Linked DNA regions of Sus scrofa. The protein of the gene in region 3 interacts with the protein of the main gene of each other region in a biochemical or structural test. Links are inferred from orthologs where the notes say so. Each region holds a gene or a part of one and is shown on either strand. Other genes may lie near its edges.

What was found.
Region 1: the proteins of CEBPB (region 3) and CEBPG form a complex in vitro, tested with the Homo sapiens proteins (2 studies listed by BioGRID and IntAct, with this or other methods). The link is inferred for Sus scrofa from reciprocal best matches to the Homo sapiens genes CEBPB and CEBPG.
Region 2: the proteins of CEBPB (region 3) and ESR1 form a complex in vitro, tested with the Homo sapiens proteins (2 studies listed by BioGRID and IntAct). The link is inferred for Sus scrofa from reciprocal best matches to the Homo sapiens genes CEBPB and ESR1.

Annotation. Positions count from the first base shown.
Region 1 is NC_010448.4:43,163,613-43,167,364, reverse strand, and holds the start of CEBPG (CCAAT/enhancer-binding protein gamma), read right to left. Parts: upstream 2,446-3,752; 5' UTR 2,246-2,445; intron 1,977-2,245; exon of another isoform or gene 1,466-1,976; intron 956-1,465; 5' UTR 861-955; intron 1-860. UniProt on the Homo sapiens protein: Transcription factor that binds to the promoter and the enhancer regions of target genes. Binds to the enhancer element PRE-I (positive regulatory element-I) of the IL-4 gene. Binds to the promoter and the enhancer of the immunoglobulin heavy chain.
Region 2 is NC_010443.5:14,372,519-14,376,170, forward strand, and holds part of ESR1 (estrogen receptor), read right to left. Parts: intron 1,791-3,652; coding exon 1,455-1,790; intron 1-1,454.
Region 3 is NC_010459.5:51,721,491-51,724,291, forward strand, and holds CEBPB (CCAAT/enhancer-binding protein beta), read left to right. Parts: upstream 1-1,142; coding exon 1,143-2,183; downstream 2,184-2,801. UniProt on the Homo sapiens protein: Important transcription factor regulating the expression of genes involved in immune and inflammatory responses. Also plays a significant role in adipogenesis, as well as in the gluconeogenic pathway, liver regeneration, and hematopoiesis.

The DNA.
Region 1 (3,752 bases), on a different chromosome or scaffold from region 3:
CGAGAAATTATTTGCTCCAAAGGCTAACACTTATTTTTATAAATGTCTTACATAAAAATGCGACTCTTGAGCAGTAAATCTCTTAAAACAACCATAATTAAATCAAGAGTGTTACTGAGATGTTCCGGTCTTACTACCCACCTAAGGCTCTCAGTTCTTCTTAAAGGTGCACAGGAAAATAACAACAGTTCCCTGCAGCTTCTAGTCCCCAGTCTAGAGAGTGAACAGCATTCTCATCTGGTCTTTGCTTCATTTCAGTTGAGAACCTTTATTTTTCACTTTGTCCAGTTGTGTTTTCCATAACCTCAAGCTCTCAGGCATGTGCTGCCAGGGTCTGACAACCCTGTACTACAAGTGAAGTCAGGTAAGCAGTCAAAGTTGATAAACACCCAGTTGAGCAGGATTTCTATTTATTTGTCACTGCTGGCCCTTCATGACCCAAAACAGGGGTCCCTGAAGGAGGATACATCCCTTCAGGGAGTACACGGGTGGTCCTTTGGAGAATGAAAAGAATGTATGTTCACCTGGATGGGTTTTTTTTTTTTTTTTTTTTTGGTCATCTTTCAATCTACTTTTGGTGGTGTTTACAACACACACAAATAGTACAAAGAAACATTTATAAATACACATCTATTAAGGAATCAATCGCAATTCTTTTTTTTTTTTTTTTTTACCGATACGTCTAGAAAGCCAAAAAGGTAGGAGACCATTGTACCTACCAGTACAAGAACCCACAGAGGTGCCCAAGAATACACAATAAACCTGGAATTGTGTCTGCGTTTACCATTTTTGCGATCAGGTGAAGCAAATCTTAGACCACAGAACCAAATTCAGCCCCATGAGATCCTATTTGTCTTTACCTAGGACTCACCAGCTGTTGTTTAAATCCCTAAGGATGAAACCACCTCTCCAAGATCAACAGTCATGATGTGCTCTTGAGAATTTAGAGGGCATTCTGGAAAAAAAAAAAATGAAGTTTTGCTCCCACCTATGTGTTTTAGGCAAGTATTAAAATGACTGAATCAGCCAACTGCACCCGCCCGAAGCAAGACTTGAGAAACTGAAAAATTCTCCAACTCACTAGAATCCTATGATGGTTTAGCCCTGTTTACACTGTTATTCCAAAATAGCAAATCAACTTTAAGGATAGCTTTATCCCAAATACTACTCAAGTAGTGACAGCTGACCAGGTTTTAACTTTTAAATACCAAGAACTTTTAGATGCAGAAATATCAGTATTTTATCTCAAAAATTTCTTTGAGCGTCCCATAACCTATCTGTCCAAAGGATAATCTCTTCAAGTACGGATTCAATTGAGTGTAGGCTGGGAGACAGAACTACCAATTTTTGCGTAACCCACCAAAGTTAAAAGCACATTTTAAGAAACCAGATGACAAAATAAACCTCAGATAACAGAAAAGCCAGACAAGTAAACCTCCTGAAGCATAAAAACACACAAACTTACTTGAAAGAACAGAGTAGCCTTCCCTTTAACACTTCCATCCTCTCTACCCAGACACCTCTGCTGGCAATTAGCTTCAGCATGTTCCCTCGGAGCATGCTAACGAAGCGCTTCATTTCTTGCCCTCCCCTGCTCCATTCAACTCGTGGTTGCTGCACGTTCACCCAACCGGTGTTCGACAGTCAAACGAAGGGTATTCAAAAGTACAGCTCCATAAGGAACCATACTATTTCCGTAAAATCACGTATTTAAAAAATCAACTGCCTTCCCTGACTACTCTAATAACTTCTGAATCCGATTCTCGGCTACCCGACCCCGCGTAGTTCTGGAGGGGCAGGAAACAACCTAGGTGGCACTCCACTAAGATAAGGTCTACCTTCGGCTATTCTGGGAACACCCTTTATCCCCAAGGGCCAATACGAGCCTGGCTTGTCACACTGCACACACAGAGGGCCGGGTTGTGGAGGGGGCACGGCGTGGCTCGCATCCCGTCCCGGGCCGGCAGCAGGGGCGCCGGGGGAGCCCGGGGGTCGGCGGGTGGCGCCGCGGCGCTGGGCCGGGGCCAGGGATGAGCTCAGAGGCCTCGCCGGGTGTTGCCGGCAGGTTGCATCAGACGCCGCGCGGGGCCGCCGCCCGCGCCGCGGGCCGCGCGGGGCCTTCCCAGCAAGCCGGCCGCCTCGGGCCGGGCCGGGCCGGGGCTCCTCTCGCTGGGGCCGCGCCCACGCGAGCAGCTGGCAGCACCGCGGCCTCCCAACTCTCTCAGCCCGCTCGCGGCCTCCTTACCTGCGCCACTAGCCCGCCTGCCCCCAGGCGGCCTCCACTCTAAGCGGCCCCGTGCGGTACGGCCGGACCCGACCCAGGCCTAGCAGCCCGCGAGTCAGCGAGGTGGAGCGACGGTTACGAAACCGGGAGCCTCCGCCCGTTCCGCCGCCGCAGCCACCGGCTTCCCCTCCTCGCTCAGGCCGCGCGCGCGGCCGCCGCCGCCTCCACGACCAATGGGAGCGCCGGCCTACGGGTTGCTCCCGCCCCCCCTGGGATTGGCAGCGCCGCTAGCCAATCGAGAGCGGCCTGACTGCGGGAGGCGGGCACGTGGCGGAGGCGTAGCCCACGGCGCTTTAGGATGGGCAGGGGTGGTGGCGGCAGCGGCCTTAGTTTCCAGGACTGAACGCGTGGGGAGACATCCTAAGACGTGGGCGACCCGCCGCTCAAAAGGTTCTGTCAAAGTTGGAGGCATTGGAGAACTGTAGCCTTGTGAAGGCAACACCTGTCTTTGGAAAGCGCAATTTTCTGAGATGATTTTTTTTTTTTTTTTTTTGAATCACCAATTTCTGTTTTGGTTTCACCACGTTCTCAGGGAGCCCCGCCTCGGAGTCGCTTCCAGGGACAGTTTCCCGGAACGGCCCACCGGGCTCGCCTCTTCGTAGGCTGGGAGGCCGACGGTCGCCTCACCGCGACTCGCGCCCTCCGGATGGAGTCTGGAGAGAAGCCCCGGACCTCACGGCAGTGAAGGCAGCTGCAAACTTGGTGAAAAACGAAGGAAGGAAAATTTTCCCAATGTGGGATTAGTATTGATGTCACTTCGGTACAGACTGTGGTTACGGAGGAAATAATTGAGTTTACCTGACTGCCATGTGCTGTCTTCCAGGTGAACAGACTGAGAGACTTGATCTCAAAAAATGAATGGCAATCCAGCTTTATTTGTCAAAGACAATTCACAGGAGAATCTGAAAGCGTATTACAACCAGGAAGCAGCGAGCTGGGTGGAGGCAGATAGATTTGATTGCTTCCTCTTTAGCAATTCTTATCGTCCAAAAACTGGAGTCTTTGAAAGAGGAAACGTTTCTTCCTCGCCAGGCAATGGTACCAGCTTTCTGCAAGGGACTGTTTCGAGGAATCAATGAAGAGATGATAAAACATTTGCACACACAAACCAAAAAAAAAAAAGATAATAAGAAGGGCTGCAGCCAAAAGTGAACGCTGATGACTGTAGAAGCACACTTGGTAGAATGACACAATATCACCAAAACCAGTACTTTTCACTTTGGTGGGCAGTGGTTGGAGTTAAAATTTCTTTGATCGCGATTTTAGCAATATTAAAACTGGATTCGATTTTGTTACTCACAGAATCATAATTTCATCCTCACCATTTCCTAATCAATTAAAAAAAAAAAAAGGAAAAAAACCTGTATAGATGTGTTCCTTATCCCCCGGTTTGCTAAACTTGCTGCCAAGCTGCTCCAATGTTCTCTGAGTCTGTCTGGGCAGGTCTTCTTCCACACTCAGCAGGTCT
Region 2 (3,652 bases), on a different chromosome or scaffold from region 3:
AACTAATATTACCAAAACTTCATTAGGGAAAATACATGCTAATAGCACAATAAACATTAACAGCAACTAAGAATTGGCTTTCAGGGATATGACCATTTTTTTTGCTGTTTTTTTTTTCTCTTCTCCCAAAGTATTGTTTTAAAAAACAAAGGCAGTAACAAATCTAAAGATAAAACCTACGACCATATTATAATTAAATTCTAATATTTAGTTGTCATAGATCTGCTCCACATGAGGATGCTAAGGTAGGTAAGTTCTCAATAAACTTAATTCCAAAGATGGCTGGGAGTTTTTATTTGCCAGTTGGACTGACCCTGAAAATCTAAGTATGCTTATTAATTCCCATGTTTCCATGTAACCCAACCTCTGCCACCTAAATAAATGCCCTATATCAGGTTTGGATCACGTTACTGGTTCCTTATTCAAAGGACTACAAGTTTATATGTTAATATATGCAAATACATGAAATAGTACATAAGGCCAGATATATGTTCGCTTGGGCTATTAATAGAGTTGGTGAACTCTAAAATGCAAGTACAAAACTCTACATTTATTTAGTTTGATAAAGAACATCCCATGCTTCATAGGTAATAATTAATCTATTCAAAGAAAGCAAACAAGACAATTGCTGTCTAAATTCATTACTTATTTGATCTATAAGCCCATAAAAAAAAAAAAAAAGATTTAACTTCCTCTTGCCTTGGTTCATCTACCTTAGCTCCTGAATGGATATGATGGGGCATGGAGGAGGTCATTTTCTAGTCTTGTTTCCATAATAACTAGAGTTCTTCTCCCTGAACAACAAGAGCAACAGTCAAGGTTTACAGGAACATCAGTACTGAGAGTATCAACTGAAGGACCAAGTATCACTTCAGCCACTGCTATCTTTCTAAAAGCTCCTCTCAGGGCTGAGAACCTAATTTATTTTCTGTTGTATTATCTTTCTCCTAAAATATTGAGAAGAGATGGTTGAATGAATAATTGGCATTCGGTTTAAAAAAAAAAAAAACCCTATTATTATCTCGTTAGTCCATAAACATCTTAAAAGAAAATATTTTAAGGTAAAATTGATTATTAATAATTTAGGTGTTTTGAATGAAAGTCCTCAATATTAAAATTTTATAGGGCATAGATCATTTGGTGTTAAAAACTTCTGACACTGGGAACACACAATATGAAATGCATTTATAACGGAGTGTCCACCCCAGATTTTTTAGTGAATAGGATGAGTTAAAAATAATGTCAGATTAAAGCCTTTAATACTCTAGATTTTGATTGTAAAACATTATTCCCTAATTTTCAGGAGAATTACAGTGTACTGACACTGAAAATTAACAAATCCTGATGTAACCTTGAAACTGATTAGATCACAAGCCATTGTCCCCACACTATCACGACCAGTTCATGAATAGCTAATGGCCCTTAAAAATAAAAGTTGAGCTTCATGTTCTTACCTGGCACCCTCTTTGCCCAGTTGATCATGTGTACCAGCTCCCTGTCTGCGAGGTTGGTCAGCAAGCCCATCATTGAAGCCTCACTGAGGGGTCTGGTAGGATCATACTCGGAATAGATTATGGGGGGCTCAGCCTCCAACAAGGCACTGATCATCTGGTCGGCTGTCAGGGACAAGACCGGGCTGTTCTTCTTAGTGTGTTTAATCAAGAGAGGGCTTGGCCAAAGGTTGGCAGATCTCATGTCTCCAGGGGGCACCGCTTCATTCCTGCCCTCTCCATCATCTCTCTGGCGCTTGTGCTTCAACATTCTCCCTCCTCTCCGGTCTTTCCGTATCCCTGAGAATACAGACCAAAAAAAAAAAAAAAAAAAAAAAAGCCAGTTTATACTTTTTCTCATATTAACTTTCATACTACAACTATCTTCGATGCTCACAGCCCTTTATTTTATTTAAGGACATAGTTGGGGACATAGTTGTGCTGGTGTTTAACAACCAGCTGTCCAAGAGGGGGGAAAAAAAACTTCCATTGGTAGCATTTGCCAATTTCCATGGTGTAACTACTCCCACCATGGCAAATTTCAAGCTACTTGTCTGATATCAAGCAGCATACAAACTCCTGAAAATTTAACAGTAGGCTTTTGTGAGCCAGTAAAAGCTGGTTCTAACAAACCACTGGGGTGTGTGTGTGACAGATGTTATTAAAAAGTTCAACATTACAGTATTTAGCCATTCTTGAAATATGACAGCATAAAAGATTGCTTCTGCTATGAATATTATTACTATTGTTATTACTATTATTTTAAGGACCTCACCTGTGGCATATGGAAGTTCCTGGTTTAGGGGCGAATTGGAGCTGCAGCTGCAGTCTTATGCCACAGCCACCCCAACACTGGATCTGAGCCGCATCTGCAGCCTATGCTGAAGCTTTCAGCAATGCTCGATCCTTAACCCACTGAACAAGGCCAGGGATCCAGCCTGCATCCTCACAGACACTATGTCAGACTCTTAACCCACTGAGCCCCAATGGGAACTCTTGAATATTCTTTTAATAGCAAATTTAAAAGGCATTCGAGAAAAGCACTTAATAAACATCCTTATCGTCCTGTTGACTTCTTGATGGCAAGACACTAAGGGGGAATGACTTATCCAAAACACATCTGACAGCCTTTGGACCCCACCAGCGTTCAGTCAGGCTTTCATTGCTACTAAGCGGTACTTCATCACCTAAGCGACTGAGCCAAGACCCTCAACTTGTTTCCTTGGTTGTAAGGTTTTTACAAATGTATTTCCATTTTCCTAATATAAAAGTTTTCAAATAGTTGAAAATAGTTTTCCCCCAAAGATTTACCCAGCTGTGGTTCTCACTAACTAGATTATGGGGGACTGGAGGCTCCAATCTCTTTGGCAGACATTCTTGGAAGTTTGGCTCAACATCTTAACCTGGAAAAGGCCAGGCTGTGAAGTTAAAATCTATCAACCGAAACATGCATTTTAAAGGGCAAAAATTAACACAAGCTTCCATATTTTCAAAAACTCTAATCTCTCCAAAATACATCAGACAGCAAGAGTTCTTCGATTATACATAAAAGAAATAGTCAGTTTAGTAAAAAGTTAATACAATTATTTTTAATATTAAAGATAGAAGTAAACACTCTTTATAACATCACTTGTTCTCTCACTCTGAAACAAATGAAAAACTAATGTCAGAATTTTGTTCTGTTTTGTTCTAATTTGTTAAGGGATTTGAACAAATGTTCTGTGGTGAATTTTTTTTTTTTTTCCCTTTGGCTGAGCCCATATCATGTGGAAATCCCAGGGCTGGAGATTCAGCTGGCGCCACAGCAGTGACAATGCCGAAGCCTTAACCCACTGCCGCACAAGGAACTCTCATCAATAGTGAATTTTTTATGTGTAACTTTTATTCTTTTAGGTCTAGATTAGATATGTTAGAAGATATTAAAAATTTAATGAAGCCGCAGATCCTATTCCTATTTGTTCAGTATTAAACGAAGCCTTTCCCAGAGCTCTTGGGATAAGTAATAATTGTAAAGATTATTAGCACTGACGGGCCCTGAGCATGTGCCATGTGTTTTAAGCACCTTATATACACTTTACACGTAACCATTTTACAACTAATTTAGTTTTCACAATAATCCTGTAAGGTAAATACAGGAAAACCGCTGTTTTGAAAGTTTAATG
Region 3 (2,801 bases):
GAAAGCCTTATGTTTGGGAGTCTGTGGTGGAGACAATAATACAACTAATAATAAGTTTTGAGACCTTCAAGGATTGAAGGTTAGCTAAGTGACCTGCGCAAGGTGACACAGTAATGTCAGAGCTTAGCACCTACACCCCCTTCTACACTTTGGGTGCCCAAGTGGGAGTGGGGTGGGGCTGGAGAATACCCGGGTGTGGTCTGAGGGGGCGGGCGGCTGTGCTGGGCAGGGCTAGGAGAGGGGCAAGGTCGGGCCCCTGGCAGATGCTCCAGTGGAGCTTGCTCCAGACTTGCACTCCCAAAGCCCCCAACCACAAGTCTTCGCATTTAGGAGAGAAGTCCCTATAGGCGTGAAATCCTCTCCTTCCAAAAGTTGGGGACGAGGGCAAGTTTAGGGGCGGGGCCGGGCCCTGGAAGGGCTTTGGAGATGGGCTACCTCTCCAATAGCCAGAGCAGGGGTTTGGGGTCTCCAGGATCCCGCCTGGGGCGCGTCCCCTCCTTAAGGAGTTGGGGCTGAGAGCCGCTGATCTTGAAGCCACGGCCTCCTCCAGCAGGGGGCGGGCCGCGGCCGCGTTTAGGGTGGGGGAAGGCGATGGCGTCGCCCCCTCCCCGGATTCCCCCCTCCCTTCTAGTACAGCCTCCAGCCCAGAGGGGGCGGTCCGGGGGCGGGTTCGCGCCTCTTCTCGCTTCCAATCCTGAGTCCGAAGGGTGGGGGTGGGCAGGGGGCGTGTGGCGGCCCCCGAAGCCGGAGGACCCCCCAAGGGCGCGCTCCAGATCTTCAGTCAGGTCACGGTGCCCCACCGCCGCCCTGCCGGGGGTCTCGGGCGGCCACAGCGTGTCCTCTGCGTGCCCGGGGAGGGGTTGGGGCGGCCGCCAGGCGTGACGCAGCCGTTGCCATGGCCCGCCTTATAAATAACCGGGCTCTGGAGAAACTTTAGCGAGTCAGAGCCGCGCACGGGACCGGGAAGGGGACCCACCCGAGGGTCCAGCTACCAGCCCCCGCACTAATAGCGGCCAATCCAGCGGAAAAAGCAACAGCAGCAGCAGCGACACAGCAGCGACAGTTCGGAGCCAGGAGGCCGCGCCACCTGCGGGCCGGCCGGAGCGGGCAGCCCCAGGCCCCCTCCCCGGGCACCCGCGTTCATGCAACGCCTGGTGGCCTGGGACCCAGCATGTCTCCCCCTGCCGCCGCCGCCTGCCTTTAAATCCATGGAAGTGGCCAACTTCTACTACGAGGCGGACTGCTTGGCTGCTGCGTACGGCGGCAAGGCGGCCCCCGCGGCGCCCCCCGCGGCCAGACCCGGGCCGCGCCCCCCCGCCGGCGAGCTGGGTAGCATCGGTGACCACGAGCGCGCCATCGACTTCAGCCCATACCTGGAGCCGCTGGGCGCGCCGCAGGCCCCGGCGCCGGCCACGGCCACCGACACCTTCGAGGCGGCTCCGCCCGCGCCCGCCCCCGCGCCCGCCTCCTCCGGGCAGCACCACGACTTCCTCTCCGATCTCTTCTCCGACGACTACGGGGGCAAGAACTGCAAGAAGGCGGCCGAATACGGCTACGTGAGCCTGGGGCGTCTGGGGGCCGCCAAGAACGCGCTGCACCCGGGCTGCTTCGCGCCCCTACACCCGCCGCCCCCGCCGCCGCCGCCGCAGCCGGCCGAGCTCAAGGCGGAGCCGGGCTTCGAGCCCGCGGACTGCAAGCGGAAGGAGGAGGCCGGAGCGCCGGGCGGCGGCGCCGCAGGCATGGCGGCTGGCTTCCCGTATGCGCTGCGCGCCTACCTCGGCTACCAGGCGGTGCCGAGCGGCAGCAGCGGGAGCCTGTCCACATCCTCGTCGTCCAGCCCGCCCGGCACGCCGAGCCCCGCCGACGCCAAGGCGCCCCCAGCCGCCTGCTACGCGGGGGCGGCGCCGGCGCCCTCGCAGGTCAAGAGTAAGACCAAGAAGACCGTGGATAAGCACAGCGACGAGTACAAGATCCGGCGTGAGCGCAACAACATCGCGGTGCGCAAGAGCCGCGACAAGGCCAAGATGCGCAACCTGGAGACGCAGCATAAGGTCCTGGAGCTCACGGCCGAGAACGAGCGGCTCCAGAAGAAGGTGGAGCAGCTGTCGCGCGAGCTCAGCACCCTGCGGAACTTGTTCAAGCAGCTGCCCGAGCCCCTGCTCGCCTCCTCCGGCCACTGCTAGCGCGGCCCCCGCGCGCGTCCCCCTGCCGGCCCGCCGGCCTCCGCGCTGCCGGGCGCGCCGCGGCCACAGTGACTCCGGGAAGCGCCCGCGCTCCCGCCCCCGCCCCCAGTGGCGCCGGCAAAACTTTGGCACTGGGGCACTTGGCAGCGCGGGGAGCTCGTCGGTAATTTTAATATTTTATTATATATATCTATATTTTTGTCCAAACCAACCGCACATGCAGATGAGGCGCCCGCCCGTGGTGTTATTTAAAGAAGAAATGTCTATGTGTACAGATGAATGATAAACTCTGCCTCTCCTCCTGCCCCCTCTCCAGGCGCCGGCGGGCGGGCCGGTTTCGAAGTTGATGCAATCGGTTTAAACATGGCTGAACGCGTGTGTACACGGGACTGACGCAACCCACGTGTAACTGTCAGCCGGGCCCTGAGTAATCGCTTAAAGATGTTCCTACGGGGTTGTTTCTGTTGCTGTTGTTTTTGTTTTTGTTGTTGTTTTTTTGGTCTTTTTTTGTATTATAAAAAATAATCTATTTCTATGAGAAAAGAGGCATCTGTATATTTGGGAATCTTTTCCGTTCGAGCATTAAGAACACTTTTAATAAACTTTTTTTTTTTTGAG